Oryctolagus cuniculus: one gene and its partners. The protein of the gene in region 4 purifies or fractionates together with the protein of the main gene of each other region. This does not show direct contact. Links are inferred from orthologs where the notes say so. Each region holds a gene or a part of one and is shown on either strand. Other genes may lie near its edges.

Region 1 (4,751 bases), on a different chromosome or scaffold from region 4:
CCATCTTCCAGCCTCAGGTGGCGGATGGGGACCCTCAGCTCCCACCCACCGAGGCTCAGCCCGCCCTCAGGCGGTCAAGGCGGTTTCGCCCTCGCTCTCAGTTTGCAAGCGGCAATACCTACGCCTTGTATGTGCGGGACACGCTGGAGCCGGGGATGCGCGTGCGGATGCTGGATAACTTCGAGGAGATCAGTGCTGGCGATGAGGGCGAGTTCCAGCAGAGCAACAGCGGTGTGCCCCCTGCGCAGGTGGGTGTGCGGTGCCCAGTGATGGGACACTGCTGGGGACCTTCTCGGGATGAGGGAGCTCCAGTGGACTATCCCGGGAGAGAATCCTCAGGAAGACCAAGGTGGTGACAGGCGTCCGCACTGGAGAGGGAGGATGTGGTGTCTGTGTTTAGGAGACGAGACGGCAAGGCTCCCTAAGAGGTCAAGATTAGAGAGATGGGGTGCTTGAGGCCAGGAGGAAGTGTCGGGACAAAGGCCATCAATGAACAGGTGAAAGGAGACCCATCCCCCAAAGGAAAAGGCGTCCTTTGAGTGCATGTATTTGTTCTATGGAGATTTTTCCAAACCTGACCAAGCGGTCACCCTAAGGGCTTAAGTCCTCATCGCTGGATCACACCCGGTCATCCGTGAGCCCTCTTCCCTCTCCCTCTCACTTTCCCCCATCTCGCAGGTATTCTGGGAGTCGACAGGCCGCACCTATTGGGTGCACTGGCACATGCTGGAGATCTTAGGCTTTGAGGAAGACATGGAGGACATGGTTGAAGCTGATGAGTACCAGAGGGCGATGATCAGTGGAGCTCTGGATCGAGGTGAGCTCAGGGAGGAAGCAGGGGTCAGCCCGGAGCCGAGAGGCAGTCTGGGCTGGGTGACATCCTGTGCGCGTGGCCCACTTCCACAGCCCTGCCCTCCTTGCGCTGGAAGCCCATGACCGAGCTCCATGCTGCGCCTTATGTGCCGCCCGAGGATGAGGATGCTGAGGAGAGGGAGCACCTGACCCAGGCTGAGTGGTGGGAGCTCCTCTTCTTCGTCAGGAAGTTGGGCGAGTCTGACCACCAGGATGTTCTGCAGCTCCTCCAGGAGAACCTGGATGGAGAGGTAGAGACCCCTGGAGGCTGGAGGGCTGCACTGCGAGTGCTGCACTGTGATAGAGCATTTGGGAGGCGCAGGGTGGGCAGTGGGGTCTGGAATGTTGGGAGGTGGAAGGAGTGGGTTAGCTTTCTGGGAGGAGCCAGCTGCCAGCCATGAGAGGTTCACAGTGAGGGAGGGGTGTGTATGCAGAGACCCCTGGCCCTGCCAGGTCGCCCTGAAGCCTGGGAGTCCTCAGGGCTGCCTGCAATGACGGCTTTCTCTCCCCGGTAGCATATTCTGGATGACGAGATCCTGGCCGAGCTGGTAGTCCCCATAGAGTTGGCCCAGGACCTGCTGCTGTCTCTGCCACAGAAACTTGATGACAGCGCCCTTAGGGACCTGCTCAACTGCCGTATCTACAGGAAGTATGGGCCCGAAGCCCTGTTAGGGCAAGTGGCCTACGCATCCTCTGTAGAAGCTGAGCGAGATGTCCTGCTGGAAGCCCGGGCCCCGCCCCAGGAATCAGAAGACACAGCTAGAGCTCAAGGTAGATGCAGACAAAGATAGCAGCTGTGCAGATTTGCTTTCGGAGGGCACTGGTGCAGGAGAACTGTCTGTGCTAATAGTTGCGCAGCGCTGTCTGGGCAGGATGGCCTCTTAGAGGGCAGGCATTGTGGTGCAGCAGGTTAAGCTGCTGCTTAGGGAGCCTGCATCCCATGAGTGCCAGTTCAAGTCCTGGCTGCTCCACTTCCAGTCCAGTTCCTTGCTAAAGTGCTTGGGAAGCAGGAGATAGTCCCTCCAAGTATTTGAGTCCCTGCCACCAACAGAGGAGACCTGGATGGAATTCCTGGCTCCTGACTTCTGTTGTGCCCATTTGGGAAGTGTACGAGTGACAGGAGATCTCTGTCTCTCTTGCTCTGGCTGTTGCTTACTGTCACTCTTTGTCTCCACATCACCCCTCCCCACCACACCCCGCCTATCACTCTGCCTTTCAGATAATTAAGTAAATGGATGAATCTAATTTTTTTGAAAAAAGTGGCACTTTAGGAAGAATTTGAAACTTGGAGATCATAACAAATGAAGTAGATGTCTTCCCATCAAAGAATGAAGGAGGATGGAAAGTTAGAAAATTGTAAGAGATGTTTGCAACCTTGAACAAGCCCTCAGGTGGGAATATTTGGTGCAGAGGTTAGGTTACTGTTTAGGATTCCTTCATCTCCTGTTGAAGCACCTGGTTCGAATTCCAGCTACTCCATTTCCGATGCAGCTTCATAGTAATGCATACCCTGGGAGGCAACAAGGGATGGCTGAAGTACCTGGGTGCCTGCTACCCCTCTGGAGAGACTGGATTGAGTTCCAGGCTCCTGGCTGCAGCCTGCCCTAGCTGTTGGCAAGCATTTGGGGAGTGAACCAACAATGGAAGATCTCTCTCTTTGTCTCTCTGCTTTTCAGATAAAATGAAAATAGATAAAAATCAAGAAAAAATTAATTGTTCTTTTGCATTTTTTAAAAAAACATTTATTTATTTGAAAAGCAGAGTTAGAGGGAGAGACAGAGAGATCTTCCATCCAGCAGTAGCCAAAAGCCTCATCTGGGTTTCCCACATGAATACAGGGGCTTAAAAGATTTATTTATTGAGCCGGTGCTATGGTGTAGTGTGTTAAAGCTCTGACCTGCAGTGCCAGCATCCCATGCGGGCACTGGTTTGAGTCCCGGCTGTACTTCTGATTCAGCTCCCTGCTTATGCACCTGGTAAAGCAGCAGAGGATGACCCAAGTGCTTGGGCTCCTACACCCATGTGGGAGACCTGGAAGAAGCTCCTGGCTCCTGGCTTTGGCTGGCCCAGCCCCAGTCGTTGTAGTCATTTGGGGAGTGACCCAGCAAATGGAAGACCTCTGTGTAACTCTACCTTTCAAAAATAAAACAGACTTTAAAAAAAGAAAAAGTTTATTTATTTAGAAGAGTACAAAGAGATCAATCTTCTGTCTGCTGGTTCACTCCTCAAATGGCCACAATGGCTGGAGCAGGGTTGATCCAAAGCCAGGAGCCAGGAGCTTCTTCCGTGTTTCCCACATGGGCGCAGGGGCCCAAGCACTTGGACCATCTACTTCTTTCCCAGCCCATAGCACAGAGCTGGATTGGAAGCAGAGCAGCTGGTCTCAAACCGATGCCTATATGGGATGCTGGCACTGCAGGTGGCAGCTTTACCCACTACACCACAGCGCTGGCCCCTAGCTCCAACTTTTTGTGGCAGAGAAAAACTGTTTGCTTTTAAATCTAAGGACATGGTCTGATGATTGTAAGCAGAGAGCTGCTTAGCTACCTTAAGAATACAGAATATAACATGTTTTAATGACATCTTGTAAGATGAGATCTTCAAGCCTAACTTTTAGGGAGACAAATCAAAAACATTTTTCGGAGAAATGAGAAAACATGATTGAGAGTTGTGACTCAGTCCTTTTGTGATCGCTGTCACTAACAGTGGCCAACCCTTGCGGCTCCTCCTCTCCCGCAGCCAAAGAAGCCCCTTGTAAGAGCCCCGAGTCTCCTCTGCAGCGTCTGGCAGAGGATTGCGGCCCCACTGGGAAAATCCTCCTGGATCTGGAGCAAGCCCTTAGCTCAGAGAGCAGCCGGCAGCATGCGGTCCCACCCTTACTGCTGCAGCTCCAGCGTCAGCCCCAGCCCTTCCTCGCACTGATGGAGAGCCTCGGCACGCCAGCCACCAACAGAGCCCTGCACCTGACTGCTCTGAGGTCAGGGGGTGTGAGAGGCAGGGCTGGGCAGAGGGGTCAGCGTGTGGCTGCCTGCACATCCGTGTCCTCTCAATTCCCCAGAATCCTGAAGCAGCTGGTGGACTTCCCCGACGCACTGCTACTGCCCTGGCATGAGGCTATGAGTGCCTGCATGGCTTGCCTGCGGTCCCCAAACACCGACCGAGAGGTACCCCCACCCTGCTGTGGGATATGCTGGGAGGGAGAACGCCCGGGGCTGCCGCTGGTGAGCCCGACACCCCGGGCAGCGCTGTGGGGGACACGACGGAGCCTTTGTGCTCTTGCATTGAGTTGTGTTTTTAAAATTGAATTTTATTTTTTTAAATAGGTAACACACTCACACGGTTCACAAATCAAAACGATGTAACAAGGTATACATTGAGCGTTCTTGCTCACACCTGCCATCCTTATTGCTAACTGCTTGTGTTAACTTAGGTACCCTTCCTGTGTTTCCTTGTGCAAATATCAATAAACCCAAGTGTGCAGTCTCACTTAGCGGCCCCTTGCTTATACCAGAGAATCTATATATGCTACATGAAAGCCTTAACGATGCTCTTGTCGGCCCGGGGCGTGGGAGAAAGGGGATGGAGGCAGCAGAGGGGACCATCAGGAACCAGAATCTCCTGTGAGAGCTACAGAGAGCGCCTGGTCACAGACGCGGTCAGAGAACGAGGGTTGTGGTGCAGTGGGTGTCTGCAGGCCGCACCTTTGGCTGGTAGCCAGGTTTAGGCTTCTGAGGTGGACTCCTTGAGTGTCCATACACACACCTTGTCCTTCCTTGGGTCCCCCTGCCCGAGCCATGCACATCTGTGCCTGGGGCCTGCACATCTCCACACAGTCCTGCAGCTGGTGCTTGGGTCCACTGGACCTGACCTGAAGAAACCCAAGTCTGCTATCTGCTCCT
Region 2 (4,243 bases), on a different chromosome or scaffold from region 4:
CGCCTTTGCCAGCTTCTCCAACGTGCTCAGCAGCTGGTGCCAATATGAAGCGCTCAAGTTCGTCAGCTTCCCCACCCAGGTGCTGGCCAAGGCCTCCAAGGTGATCCCGGTCATGCTGATGGGGAAGCTGGTGTCCCGGCGCAGCTATGAACACTGGGAGTACTTGACGGCCGGCCTCATCTCGGTCGGGGTCAGCATGTTCCTGCTGTCCAGCGGGCCTGAGCCCCGCAGCTCCCCGGCCACCACGCTCTCAGGCCTCATCTTGCTGGCAGGCTACATTGCTTTCGACAGCTTCACCTCAAACTGGCAGGATGCCCTGTTTGCCTATAAGATGTCATCGGTGCAGATGATGTTCGGCGTCAACCTCTTCTCCTGCCTCTTCACGGTCGGCTCTCTGCTGCAGCAGGGGGCCCTCCTGGAGGGGACACGCTTCATGGGGCGCCACAGCGAGTTTGCAGCCCACGCCTTGCTGCTGTCGGTGTGCTCAGCCTGCGGCCAGCTCTTCATCTTCTACACCATCGGCCAGTTCGGGGCGGCGGTCTTCACCATCATCATGACCCTGCGCCAGGCCTTTGCCATCCTCCTCTCCTGCCTCCTCTATGGCCACACGGTCACTGTGGTGGGCGGGCTGGGGGTGGCTGTGGTCTTCGCTGCGCTCCTGCTCAGAGTCTACGCCCGGGGGCGACTAAAGCAGAGGGGAAAGAAGGTGGTGCCTGGGGAGGCCCCAGTGCAGCAGGTTTGAGGCAGGAGGGGCCCCGCCCACCACCCAGGCTCTCCTCTACTTGGTGGCACTGGCTCTAGGGCAAAATGTGCAGCTGGCGGGCGGGGAGCCCGAGGCAGACTTCCCCTTGGCCTTAAGTCACCTGTTTGACAGCCCTCCTGAGGGGCTTGGGGGGGTGTCGAGCCTACCTGTTGTCACCAGCGCTTCACCTGTGCTTAGCCCCTACATCGGGGACTTCCCTCCCACACCTGCGTTTAACTGTGGGGAAAAGCACAGCACAAGTGTTTGGGGCGCCAAGTGCTGCTTTTCAAGGCGGGTGACAGGGTGCTGAGGGAGCTGGCTCCGTGAGCTAGTGCAGGCTTTGGTACTCTGGAAATGTCGTTTTGCTCTTTATAATTTTATTAAATTGCTGCAGTGGACAAGTCCTGTGTGTCAGGTGACTGAAGGGGTTGGGAGGACAGGGTTGCAGGGTGGGCACCCCCACTACCCCCTTAGCTTTGGGGTGAGCAACACCAGCACAGCCCTCTGTGCTCACAACTGCTGGACACCAAAAGCAGTGCATCCACTTTACAAGGGAGAGCAGAACTGTATAAAACGGCGTCATCTTTATTTTGCATACTTTAATTTCAGAACAAAATAAACAAAAAAAACCCACAATACACAACATCCAACCCCATTGTCAAATTAAGGAGGGGATGGGGCTTGAGGCCTTTGTTTCCTGCCATAAGACACAGGACAGGAGAGAGACCACTAGACATCAGCAGGGGAGCCAGGTGGGACAGGGCCACTCAAGGCTGCTGTGGGAGCCACGGGGACACTATACAGAGGGCAGGAGTTTCCGAGGAGTTCCTAGTCTACTTCTTCCATGCGGGAGGCGTCCTCATCTCCCTCGAGAGGGGGGATCTCCTCCGGAACAGCTGCGCTGGGTTCCTCTGCTGCCACCTCATCCTCATCAATGCCTAGGAAACAGAAAATAGGAGGTTCCAACCACACAGCACGGAGGGAGGGAAGGGTGTCCCCACCCGGAACCCAGGCACTGCTCACTCCATACCTAGGCCTAGCTTGATCATGCGATAGATGCGGTTGGAGTGGGTCTGGGGATCCTCCAGGGAGAAGCCGGAGGACAGCAGCGCAGTTTCAAAGAGCAGCACCACCAGATCCTTGACTGCCTTGTCGTTCTTATCCGCCTCGGCCTTCTGCCTCAGCGTCTCCACGATGGGGTGGTCGGGATTGATCTCCAGGTGCTTCTTGGCCATCATGTAGCCCATGGTAGAGTTGTCTCGAAGTGCCTGGGCCTTCATGATCCGCTCCATGTTGGCTGTCCAGCCGTAGGTGCTGGTCACGATGCAGCAGGGCGAAGACACGAGCCTATTGGAGATTGTCACCTGCAAACAGCCAGCAAACCTCAGGTGTGTGTGGAGGTCAGCCTTACATCTTTGCCAAGCCTTAGAGACAGCTCACACCTAACTCCTGAATAAAACCACTCACTGCAGGGCCACTGGCATCACCAGCTGCTCCGCTTCAGAGCCAGCTCCCTACGAATGTGCCTAGGAAGATGGCCCAAGAGCTCCGGCCCCTGCCACCTCCCAGGGAGACCTGGAGTTCCAGGCTCCTTGGCCTGGCTTACCCCAAGCCATTGTGCCCTCTCCAACCCTGCCCTTGAATCTTGACACACACAGCAAGCACGCAAAGCTGCACCTCCAAAGGAGTGCGGAACACCTGAGCCCCAGGTGCTCACCTTCTCAACCTTCTTATCCAGGATCTCCTTCATGAGCTTGCAGAGGTTCTCAAACTTCGCCTTGCTCTCCTCCATCTTCTTCTTCTCCTCCTCGTCCTCAGGCAGCTCCAGGCCCTCTTTGGTCACAGACACCAAGCTCTTCCCGTCGAACTCCTTGAGTTGCTGCACGCAGTACTCGTCGATCGGCTCTGTCATGTACACCACCTCGAAGCCCCGCTTCCGCACGCGCTCCACGAAAGCCGAGTTGGCCACCTGCTCTTTGCTCTCCCCTGCAAGGTCATTCAATGGGACTCAGACACGAATGCCCCTGCCCTGCCCAGCCCCTGCCCGCCTCAGACCCAGACGCGCACGCACCAGTGATGTAGTAGATGGACTTCTGTGTCTCCTTCATGCGAGAGACGTACTCAGACAGCGAAGTCATCTCGTCTCCAGACTGGGAGGTGTGGTAGCGCAGCAGCTCAGAGAGGCGGCGCCGGTTGGTGGAGTCCTCGTGGATGCCAAGCTTTAAGGGCGGGAAGAGAAACCACCATCAGCTGGGCTAGAACTTTGAACGACCCACTTACCACGTACCCAAACGTGCCCCAAGGGAGAAAGCCACTCGCTCCTCACCTTCAAGTTCTTGGAGAAGGCCTCATAGAACTTCTTGTAGTTCTCCTTGTCTTCCGCCAGCTCGGAGAAGAGCTCGAGGCACTTCTTCACGATGTTCTTGCGGATGACTTTCAAGATCTTGCTCTGCTGCAGCATTTCGCGGGAGATGTTCAAGGGCAGGTCTTCGGAGTCGACCACGCCACGGATGAAGTCTGCAACCAGGCAGTGCGGCAGCTTGGTCAAGACCAGGCCAGACTGGACAGAGCCACCCGGATGCGCACACGAGGTCCGGCTTTCTCCCTGGACCACTATCTGGGATGAAGCCTGCAGCCCCCTCCAACGCCACCGGGCCAAGGCCATACTCACTGAGATACTCTGGGATCAGCTCATCACAGCTGTCCATGATGAACACACGGCGGACGTACAGCTTAATGTTGTTCTTCTTCTTCTTGTTCTCAAAGAGGTCAAAGGGAGCTCGGCGAGGGATGAAAAGCAAAGCCCTGAATTCCAGCTGACCTTCCACGGAGAAGTGCTGCGACAGGAGACCCAAGGTAAGCCAGCAGGACGCGCCAGGCCCAGGGTGCCCTTCAGTCCCAACTAGACTCCAACCTGGAATTATCGTCCCCCAAGCACTTGCGACATGATTCCTAATGCCCTAAACACACCTACGCTGGTCCCAGCTGCATAAAATCCTGAACTTCCACCAGGAGAGAAAGCCAGGTCCTCGGGCAGGGCCATCAGCGATGCTCCCGGTTCTCAGCTGGGCTACCCCCTGCCTCTCCACCCCGGCCCACTCCCAAGGCCTCTCACCTTGACTGCCAAGTGGTCCTCCCAGTCATTGGTGAGGCTCTTGTAGAACTCGCCGTACTCCTCCTGGGTGATGTCATCAGGGTTTCTGGTCCAGATGGGCTTGGTCTTGTTCAGTTCTTCCTGATCGATGTACTTCTCCTTGATCTTCTTGGTTTTCTTTTTCTTGTCCTTGCCGCTGTCATCTTCCTCATCGGAGCCCACATCTTCGATCTTGGGCTTCTCATCGTCCTCCTTATCTTCCTCCTCCTTTTTCTCTTCCCCTTTTTCTTCCTCTGCTTCATCATCACTGATTTCCTTTTCTCTTTCCTTCTCCAACTAAAGCACCCAGAAACACTCGTCAGTTTTGAGCACCGACCCTCAGGGCAAGCAAATGGCCCAGCCCACCA
Region 3 (4,751 bases), on a different chromosome or scaffold from region 4:
CTATCGTTCCTATTACTGAACACCACCACACGGAGGCCTGGTATAGAGGAATAACAAGTTCCATATAAGAGGATATGAAGCATATTAAGTGATTCCTAACAGCAACCATTTTACTGTTCTCACCCTAGGGCACCCGGACTTTCTCCTTCATGGAGAAAGCCTTAAGCTTATGAAGGGGTCAAAAAATTCCCTTTGCCTCTTTGAGTTAGTTTAGTTTGAATTGGGTTTCCACCACATGAAGCAAAGAATTCTCCTTCTAACTTTAAATAAAAGCAGATGCCACATGTCAGCATACTGGAAAAAGTTCATGGAATAATGGAATTAAAACTGAATTTACAAATATTTGGGCACAATAAATGTTTTGAAATCCAAGCACAGGTTTTTTATAATGCACATTTTTCCATGTATTTAAAGCCAATTTTTTTTGCCCCAGAAATGTTTCTGCACCAAAATAAACCCCTATTTTTAAATTCCATGTTCTCATGAACTTTTTGAAGTACCCTTAGAGATCACAATTCTGATTTTAAAATATTAAAAGCATACCTGCAGGACAGTGTGGTAGTTCTTCCTTAGGAATGCTAGTCATTCTTTGAAAATCATCATGACAAGCATTACAAAAATGTGTTGTTCCAAAACAGAAAAAGACAGCAACTGAGCAGCAGTAGCGACATTTATATTCCAAAAAGTCTGTGCCATGTTTGGGACACATCTATAGAAAAAAAAAAAAAAAAAAAAAAAGAGAGAGAGAGAGAGAGAGACAGATTCAATATTACAGTGAGACTATTTCAATTTTACTTGGGATAGTCATATACATAGCTCATTAGTTCCTATTTGGGAGCATACATAGCCTGCAAAAGCCCAAGTTGTCTGGAAAAAGCCCCATGTTCTGAACCCATCTCCATCAACTACTCAATTTCCTTGTGAATATTTCCTGGTCTTTCAAGTTGAAAATTTAATACTATTTCATCTCTCTCCCAATTGTACAGATATACTGTGAAGATTTGCTTGAAGAAGAGAAAACCTAAAAAGCTTGAGAAAATGTGACACATACGCTAATTCCTTGTTCAAATATGGTGACCATTTCACAGAAAACAAAACTATGAAATGAAAATACCATCCATGGAAATGTATCTATAAAATAATTTTAAAAAATAGTACAATGTGTTACAAATATCAGAAAACACTATGGGAAAAAACCTGGTTTAACTTTCCACAATACTGGCTTTATATTTATTAAAAAATATAATTTTAATGTTTCTATACTATCCTTTTTAATAAAATGTTCTGCTCACCTGAGCCCTTGACACATCAGAGCAGGCACCACAAATGAGCTCTCTGGGGTCATAGTCATCCCCTTGTCCAGCTTCAGCATCACAGCGAGCTTCACCACCAAAATAGGCCTAAAGAGGAAAACATTTAGATGACAGCAGAGAAAGGACAACTCTGACATGAGTGACACACTGTAAGTGTGTATTAGTCAGCTTTTTGCTATTTTAACTAAAACGCCTGAGAAGAGATTCTTGGGAAAGAAAAGGTTTATTTTGGCTTACAGTTGAGGGGTCACAGATCAAGACTGGTTGGTCCCATTAGTCTGGCATCAGGTAGAGGCTAGCAATAGTAGATATGTATATAGGGAGCCAGGAAGCAGAGGGAGAGTTGGGCCAAACTTGGTCTAAATAATCAACTTTCTTTTGAGAACTATTGTCCAAGATCCTTATGACTTAAGGACCTCCCACTGGGCCCACGTCCCAGCCACTGCAGCAAGATCAAACCTCTACCTTAATTAATCCATTAAATGCTAATATGAGATTTTGGAGTTTAAAAGTCTGCATGAATTTGGGGAGACAATTCCTGTTCGATTCATAGCAATGAATTGGAAGTAGTGAAAGTAAGACCAAGAGGTCTTAAAAAAACACAACTGCTTCATATGCTCTACATGGTCCTGAATGAATAGTGGGTTATAGAAGCAATCAAAAGTGAAATCAAAAAATTTCTGATAACAAATGCAATGACAATACAACATATCAAAAACTTATGGGATACAGCAAAAGCAGTGTTAAGAGGAAAGTTTATAGCAATAGATGCCTACATCAAGAAATTAGAAAAGCACCAAACAAATGAGCCATCATTGCACCTCAAGGATCTAGAAAAAGGACAGCAAACCAAACCCAAAAGTGAAAGGAGAAAAGAAATAATTAAAATTAGAGAAGAAATCAACAAAATTGAATAAAAAAATACAAAAGATCAGCAAAACAAAGAGCTGGTTTTTTAAAAAAACAGACAAAATTGACATGCCATTGGCCCAACTAACAAAAAAAAAAAAAAAAAAAAGGAGAGAGAAGACTCAAATCAATAAAATTAGGGATGAAAAAGGAAATGTAATGACAGATACCACAGAAATAAAAGAATCATCAGAAGTTTCTACAAAGAGCTGTATGCCAACAAACTTGGACCTAGAAGAAATGGACAGATTCCTGAACACATATAACATACCTAAATTGAGCCATGAAGACACAGAAAACCTAATCAGACCCATAACCAAGATGGAAATTAAATCAGTAATAAAGGCGCTCCCAACAAAGAAGAGCCCAGGACCGGATGATTCTACCAGATGATTAAAGAACTAAATCCAATTTTTCTAAAGTTATTCAAAACAATTGAAAGAGAAGGAATCCGTCCAAATTCTTTCTATGAACCCAGCATCACCTTAATTCCTAAACCTGAAAATGATGCAACAGAGAAAGAGAATTACAGACCAATTTCCCTGATGAATATAGACCCAAAAATCCTCAACAAAATTTTAGCGAAATGATTCAATTAACACATCAGAAAGATCACCCACCCAGACCAAGTGGGATTTTTCCTTGGTATGCAGGGATGGTTCAACATTTGCAAATAAATCAATGTGATACAACACATTAACAAACTTCTGAACAAAAACCATACGATTATCTTAATAGATGCAGATAAAGTGTTTGATAAAATAAAATACCCTTTCATGATAAAAGATCTAAGCAAATTGGGCTTAGAAGGAACACTTCTCAACACAATCAAGGCAATTTATGACAAACTTACAGCCAGCATCATATTGAATGGGGAAAAGTTGGAAGCATTCCCACTGAGATCCAGTACCAGACAGGGATGCCCACTCTCACCACTGCTATTCAATATAGTACTGGGAGTTTTAGCCAGAGCCATTAGGCAAGAAAAAGTAATCGTAGGGATATAAACTGGGAAGGAAGAATTCAAATTATCCCTATTTGCAGACAACATGATTCTTTATTTAGGGGATCCAAAGAACTCCACTAAGAGACTACTGGAATTCATAGACAAGTTTGGTAAAGTAGCATGATATAAAATCAATATACAAAAATCAACAGCCTTTGTTTACACAGACAAAGCCATGGCTGAGAAAGAAATTCTAAGATCAATCCCATTAACAATAGCTACCAAAAATTCAAATACCTTGGACTAAACTAAGGATGCAAAAGATGCCTATGATGAGAATTATAAAACATTAAAGAAAGCAATAGAAAAAGACACAAAACAATAGAAAAATCTTCCATGTTCATGGATTAGAAGGATCAGTATCATCAAAATGTCCATTCTTCCTAACGCAATTTACAAATTCAATGCTATACCAGTCAAAATACCAAAGACATTCTTCTCAGATCTAGAAAAAAATGCTGAAATCTATATGGAGCATAGGAGTCCTTAAATAGCTTAAGCAATTTTATACAACATAAACAAAGCCAGAGGCATCACAATACCAGATTTCAAGACATACTACAGGGCAGATATAATTGAAACAGCCTGGTAGTGGTACAAAAACAGATGGATAGACCAATGGAACAGAATAGAAACACCAGAAATCAATCCAAACATCTACAAGCAACTTATATTTGATCAAGGAGCTAAAACCAATCCCTGGAGCAAGGACAGTCTCTTCAACAAATGGTGCTGGGAAAACTGGATTTCCACATGCAGAAATATGAAGCAAGATCCGTACCTCACACCTCACACAAAAATCTACTCAATATAGATTAAAGATCTAATCCACGACACCATTATTAGAGAACATCAGAGAAACCCTGCAAGATATTGGCACAGGCAAAGACTTCTTGGAAAAGACCCAAGAGGCACAGGCAGCCAAACCCAAAATTAATAACTGGGATTACATCAAATTGAGAATAAACAGAAAAGTGAAGAGGCAACTGACAGAATGGGAGAAATTATTTGCAAACTATGCAACTGATAGAGGATTAATAACCATAATCTACAAAGAGATAAAAAACTCCATAACAACAAAACAAACAACCCACTTAAGAGATGGGCCAAGTGTTAAGTCAACAACAGGAATCACTGTGCACTTATTCCTCATGTAGGATCTCTGTCCTTAATGTGCTGTACATTGTGATTTAATGCTATAACTAGTACTCAAACAGTATTTTTCACTTTGTGTTTCTGTGTGGGTGCAAACTGTTGAAATCTTTACTCAATATATGCTAAACTGATCTTCTGTATATAAAAAGAACTGAAAATGAATCTTGATGTGAATGGAAGGGGGGAGGGAGAGGGAAAGGGGAGTGTTGTGGGTGGGAGGGAAGTTATGGGGGGGGGGAGCCATTGTAATCCATAAGCTGTACTTTGGAAATTTATATTCATTAAATAAAAGTTAAAAAAAAAAAGAGATGGGCCAAGGACTTAAACAGACATTTTTCAAAAAAGGAAATCCAAATGGCCAACAGACA
Region 4 (5,372 bases):
CGGACAGGCCCCAGTGCTGACCCAGCAAGTGCGAGAGCTGTCGTGGTCTCAGACCGCGAGCTGACGCCACCGTCAGCCGTCGTGGCGTCCGGGAGGGACTGTGGAGCAGGTGCGGTTCCCAACCGCCCGGCCCCTCGTGGGCTGTGGGTGGGCAGCACCCCGGGGCCCCGGGCTGGAGGGCGCACACGCACCGTTGGTGCAGACCACGCCCGCGTCCTGCGCGTGCCTGCAGTTGCTCTTCAGCCAGCCCAGGGACCTGCATTCTGCCAGCGAGGACTCCGTCCCTGTGCACACGACCTCGTCCAGCATCACGGGGCCTGTTCCTGTCGGCGCAGCAAAGTGGACAGGGCCGGGGCGTGAGCAGGCGCCGGGCCCGTGGCCGGGGCGGCAGCTGCTTGTCAACGCAGCCCGTGCAGGCAGCAGCGATGGCTCGGGCTACGCACACGGAAGCCTGGATTGTCTCCTGGCCTCCGGCTCCAGCCCTGGCCCAGAGATTTCGGGCATTTGGGGACGGAACCAGCAAACGGGAGCTCCCTCTGTCGCTCACTTGAAAAAATGCTCAAGTATTATTTATTTGAGATGGAGAAACCTCCCGTTCGTTCCCCAAATGGCAGCAACAGCCGGGACTGGGCCAGGCCGAAGGGCCAGGAGCGCCCACTGCGTCTCCCACAGGGTGGCAGGAACCTGGGTACGTGGGCCGTCACCTGCTGCAAGCTGGACTGGACGGGGGCGGGGCGGCACTCGGGCTGGGATGCAGCTTGATCCACGGACCCACACACCTGCCCTGGAGGAGACTTTTCAGAAAACGGGGGGCTGGTTTTTGGGGTTCCCGCGCCTCTGCAGCGTGCGTCCCCTGTATGCAGGCCTCGGACCGGGCTATTCCACGGTGCCGGTCCAGCGTGGGTTTGGATCTCTTACGGCCAACACCTGGGCTTGGCTCACGCTGTGGGCCCCGCCGCTGCGAATTTGGGTTTTTCCCCTTTTTTTCCAGACTCAGTCAGCGGGGAGCGGGCACTTCCTGCCCACAGATTCTCCTCGGGAGGGAACGGTTCAGGATCAGGCCCAGAGGGGACTGGCCCAGCACGGAGCGGCCAGAGGGAACAGGCCCAGAGGCCTTGCAGCGGGCCTGTCTCAGTGCTGGGCATGGGCAGCCCCACCTGGCCCGAAGGCGGCTCTGCCCAGAGCCTCGGTGGCATTCTGGAACCCCAGGGCCCGGCAGACGACGCTGGCGTCCGTCAGGTCCCAGAGGTTGTCGCACACGGTCCCCCACTGGCCCCTGTAGAAGATCTCCACGCGGCCCTCGTTGGCTGCGTCCCCGTTGGCCAGCCGCATGTCCCCGTCCTTCTCGCCTGCGGAGAGGGCAAAGGTCAGCTGGACGCGGCGCCCACCCAGCAGCGCGGCGGTTGTAAGGGCTTCCCCGGTCAGGCTGGCCGGTCCCTCACGTCAAAGCGCCCTCCACCCTGGCTGGGTGACACCCGTGCAGACCCCGCCCCCAGCCCGCGAGGCTGACTTGTCTCCCTGGTCCGCGTGGCCGGAGCTGAGGACAGGGACAGGGACACGGACGAGGAACCGGTGCTCTCCAGCACTGGACAAGAGGGGCAGGACCCCAGAGAGGACTGGGTGGGGGCCCTCGAGGGCAGCCGAGCAGGGGCGTCCATGGGCTCCAGGACTGGCGAGGGGGAGGGGGAGGGAGGTGTCCAGGACCCTTGGAGGCCTGGCCTGTGTCCAGAGGCTGCTGGCCTCACGACCACCCCCGCCACCGGCCTATGTGCTTGCCCCCATCCCCACTGGGGACAGAGTTCCTGGGTCCCCTCCCCATCCCCCCAAAGCCAGAACCCGGGGTCCCCGGAAGACACAAGCCACCCTCATTGGGTACCGCCTGGCTTGAGGCAGGAGAGACCTGGCCAGCACCTCCCAGCTCTCCGGAGGAGGGGCCCACCCCGACCCCAACCCCGACCCTGACCCCGCGGGGCAGGGCGGCAGCAGGCGCGTGGACTTCGGCCCTGGGCACCTCCCGGGCTCAGCTCACCTCGAGTCCCGGCGAGCAGCAGCCACACCCAGAAGAGCCGTGGGGGGGCCATGGCCTCCCTGGAGCCCTGACCCTGCAGCAGAAGGAAGCGGCGTGAGCCCGCACCCCGACCCGTCCTCCACTCCGCTGCGGGGCACACAGGGACCCCCTCCCGCAACCCCCCCCCGAGATCTCCCCATGATGAACAAGAAGGCGACCTGTGCCATGGATGCCTGGGGGGGGCTGTGCCTGGGCTGCAGGCAGAGTGAGCCTGGGCCAGAGGCAGGGGCGAGGGAGGGGGAGGCGCAGCCGGGGGCCCAGGGCGCGGCAGAGCCCCAGAGGCACCCAAGGCGGGCAGAGGGGAAGGGAGGTGAGAGGCAGGGCAGGGGCTCCGACAGGAGTGAAATCCGGGCCCCAGAGAGGCTGGGCTCGGGTCGGGGAGGAGGGGGAGGGAGTCCCTGCCTGGCGGGTTCTCCCTGCAGCTCCGTGGGAGACGGGCGTGTCTGAGAGCCCCTTGGGGGGAGGCCAGAGGGGGACGACGTGGACTTCGGCTCCGGTCCCCAGGACACACAGGCTGGGAGAGGCCGTGGGGTCCTCCCCAGGGCACCTCCCACCCCCGTCCCCGCCCGCCCTGCTGCCCCCGGCAGAGCCAGCGTTTGCTTCTCTGGGACACCCGCGGTGGCCACTAGCAGCACTGGCTACAAGCGGGGGCCTGGACACCCGCCAGGCAGGCCCGGCTCCTCACTGCTGCGCGAGCGCTGGGACCCAGTGCAGCAGTCTGTGGGGGGCCCGGCGTGGCTGCCCGCACTACGTGGTCACCCAGGGCCCCTCGCACAGTAGCTGTCCTGGCCCCAACGACCGTGCAGGGGCTGCTGTCCAGGGAAGCCAAGGGCTCCGCGCGCCCTTCACGGGCAGGAGGGCCAGGGCCACCTGCTGTCCCTGCCCCACTTCCCAGGGAGCTGCAGGGCCGGCTTTGTTCCCTTGGGGACAGGAAGTCAGGGCCCCGGACATGGGGGCCACGCGAGGCCCTGGCACGTGGCCGCCGCCCTCCGTGCGGTGCTGTCGTGCAGGTGAGAACAAGGCCTTGGGGCCAGGCCCGGGCGGGGACGCGCAGGCCCAAGACAGGGCTGAGGGCTCAACGCTGGCCCCTCCTGCCTCGGCCGGGTCCCTGTGCAGGGAACAACCACACACAGAGGCCCTGCGGGCCCAGGCGCGGCGGGGGTGGTCCCTGGACTCGGGAGCCCGGGGCGCCCTGCTCCAGGCCCGGTGCCTGCAGTGTGGCCCACGCTGGCTGCCTGCGTAGACAGGGGCTTACCTGCCTGGCACAGGTGGCTGTGCGGGAGGCTCCCGCCTCTGCTGGAGGCCCAGCCTGCAGTGTGGAGGGGCGGCCCCAGGAAGTGCTCCAGGGAACAGGGACGACTTTCGATTCCCACAAACCACCTGACTGCAGCCTCCGCTGGGGTTGGCTGCAGCTCTGCTGGCCAGGCCCCCTCTTCCTTCCTGCTCTGGCTGTGGGGGTGGGGATGGCAGCCACCCAAGTTCTGACAACAAGACCTACAGCGAGGGGCAGGACCACAACACGAAGGCCAGCCTGGGACAGCGGAGCAGAGGCCCTGGGGCAGACGGCAGCGCTGTGTCCTGGCAGGGTTGGGCCCAGCACGTTGCTGGCTGGGTGGGCAGCCCACACCCCGCCAGGCTGCAGGGCACTGACCCCCGCAGGCAGTCGGGCAGGGGGCCCTGAGCCCTGGGAGACCAGGAAAGCGGCCGGCACGTGGCTGAGCTGGAGCTGCCCCAGTACCTGACACCAGGGCCTGGCCTTGTCCACGCTGGGCTGACCACCCACACTGCAGAGCGGTCACTCCCCTAACGGGAACACGAATGGCCCCGCCCAGCACACACCACCCCCCCCCGCCTCCATCCCCAGCTGCGAGGTCCCAGGGCGCCCTTGGCCGCAGGGATGGTGTCGGGGAGGGCTGTGCGCCCAGACAGCCCAGCGGGAGCAGCGTCCTCTCAGGGGATGGCGCCCTGAGCCACCACGCTGGGTGTGAGGTCCTGGGCCCAGCGGCCCAGTGACCCGATCAACATCACCTCTGGTTTCTTTTCTTAAAAAGATTTATTTATTTGAAAGGCAAAGAGGGAGAGACAGAGAGGGAGAGAGACAGAGGTCTTCCATCTATTGGTTCACTCCCCCAAACGACCACAATGGCCAGAGCTGAGCTGATCTAAAGCAGGAGCCAGGAGCATTCTCCGGTATCCTATGCGGGTGCAGGGGCCCAGGATTGGGCCATCTTCCACTGCTTTCCCAGGCCACAGCAGAGAGCTGGATCAGAAGTGGAGCAGCCGGGACTCGAACTGGCACTCACATGGGATGCCGGCCTCATGGGTGGCGGCTTCACCAGCTGAGCCAAAATGCTGGCCCCCTATCTCTGGCTTCTGTTCCTGCGTCCCATGGGCCCAGATGAGGGCCCCGAACAGAACCACCTGGAGCTGCACGCACTCCCAGGGGGCGGGGGCAGGCAGGGGCCCTGTCAGCACGTGGCAGCTCTGGGAGCCGCTGGGTGGGACCCGTGGCTGTTCCCCTGCTTGGTTCATCTGAGCCCCCGGGGGCCCGCAGGCCTGGACGGCCACAGCTGGAGGCAGAACCCCTCACCGCCACTTCTGTCTCCAAGGCCAAGGCTCTCTGCCAAGCGCCAGGCAGGCTTGGGTCAGACTCCGCCCAAGCCGCCCTCGAGGCCTGGGCACACGCGCGGCGAGGCGCCGACCCCCACCTGGATGGGCCACGGGCGGGAAGCTGAGACCGCTCTGGTCCACGCGGGAGGAAGTGGACCGGCAGAGCAGTGACTTCTACACGGAGCTGCAGGGTGCCCAGAGCCAGCCTCCTCCCGCCTCAGGCCTGTGCGACCAAGGCCTTCCTGACAGGTGTCCCGTGGGGGAGCAGCCCGTCCCCAGCCCCTCCCACTCCACCAGGCTGGGTGCTCCCCAGGGCAGACCCCGCTGAAGAGTCAAGGGAGACCAGGAGGCAGGAAGAACACAGTTCCCCTCTGTGGCTTTATTGTTTACAAAACACAACAGGCCCGCCCTGGGGCCTCCAGAGCCAGGCTGCGTGGTGGTCACAGGGCCCGCAGGGGACGCTGGGTCCTGGGGCCGCGGCGCCTCCGCTCCCGCGCTGGCGGCTGCCCTGGGGTCTCGGTGGAAGAGGCGTGCAGGGAGCGGCCCAGCAGCAGCCAGGCCACGGCGTGGCACGGAGACGGCCTTCCCAGCTCAGGCAGCGCCTGACCTCTGCCCCAGACCCCGCGGGGGGACCGCAAGCCGCAGTCTGGGCCAAGAGTGTCCAGAGGAGGGGCCCGGGCCGCACGGCAGCCAG

Evidence for each region.
Region 1: the proteins of LGALS3BP (region 4) and CUL7 purify together in Homo sapiens (affinity purification with mass spectrometry; 3 studies listed by BioGRID and IntAct, with this or other methods). This does not show direct contact. The link is inferred for Oryctolagus cuniculus from reciprocal best matches to the Homo sapiens genes LGALS3BP and CUL7.
Region 2: the proteins of LGALS3BP (region 4) and HSP90AB1 purify together in Homo sapiens (affinity purification with mass spectrometry; 3 studies listed by BioGRID and IntAct, with this or other methods). This does not show direct contact. The link is inferred for Oryctolagus cuniculus from reciprocal best matches to the Homo sapiens genes LGALS3BP and HSP90AB1.
Region 3: the proteins of LGALS3BP (region 4) and MYCBP2 purify together in Homo sapiens (co-immunoprecipitation; 3 studies listed by BioGRID and IntAct, counting the BioPlex papers as one, with this or other methods). This does not show direct contact. The link is inferred for Oryctolagus cuniculus from reciprocal best matches to the Homo sapiens genes LGALS3BP and MYCBP2.

Annotation. Positions count from the first base shown.
Region 1 is NC_091436.1:126,972,573-126,977,323, forward strand, and holds part of CUL7 (cullin-7), read left to right. Parts: coding exon 1-248; intron 249-678; coding exon 679-817; intron 818-906; coding exon 907-1,103; intron 1,104-1,367; coding exon 1,368-1,623; intron 1,624-3,591; coding exon 3,592-3,829; intron 3,830-3,910; coding exon 3,911-4,016; intron 4,017-4,751. UniProt on the Homo sapiens protein: Core component of the 3M and Cul7-RING(FBXW8) complexes, which mediate the ubiquitination and subsequent proteasomal degradation of target proteins. Core component of the 3M complex, a complex required to regulate microtubule dynamics and genome integrity.
Region 2 is NC_091436.1:125,878,806-125,883,048, forward strand, and holds the end of HSP90AB1 (heat shock protein HSP 90-beta), read right to left. Parts: intron 4,173-4,243; coding exon 3,858-4,172; intron 3,580-3,857; coding exon 3,414-3,579; intron 3,260-3,413; coding exon 3,069-3,259; intron 2,962-3,068; coding exon 2,814-2,961; intron 2,729-2,813; coding exon 2,460-2,728; intron 2,107-2,459; coding exon 1,773-2,106; intron 1,681-1,772; coding exon 1,571-1,680; 3' UTR 1,523-1,570; exon of another isoform or gene 1,486-1,522; 3' UTR 1,308-1,485; downstream 1-1,307. Other genes in the region: SLC35B2 (adenosine 3'-phospho 5'-phosphosulfate transporter 1), read left to right, coding at 1-742. UniProt on the Homo sapiens protein: Molecular chaperone that promotes the maturation, structural maintenance and proper regulation of specific target proteins involved for instance in cell cycle control and signal transduction. Undergoes a functional cycle linked to its ATPase activity.
Region 3 is NC_091440.1:35,418,539-35,423,289, reverse strand, and holds part of MYCBP2 (E3 ubiquitin-protein ligase MYCBP2), read right to left. Parts: intron 1,401-4,751; coding exon 1,293-1,400; intron 710-1,292; coding exon 544-709; intron 1-543. UniProt on the Homo sapiens protein: Atypical E3 ubiquitin-protein ligase which specifically mediates ubiquitination of threonine and serine residues on target proteins, instead of ubiquitinating lysine residues.
Region 4 is NC_091448.1:2,762,959-2,768,330, reverse strand, and holds the start of LGALS3BP (galectin-3-binding protein), read right to left. Parts: upstream 3,478-5,372; 5' UTR 3,324-3,477; intron 2,103-3,323; 5' UTR 2,082-2,102; coding exon 2,030-2,081; intron 1,350-2,029; coding exon 1,158-1,349; intron 324-1,157; coding exon 192-323; intron 1-191.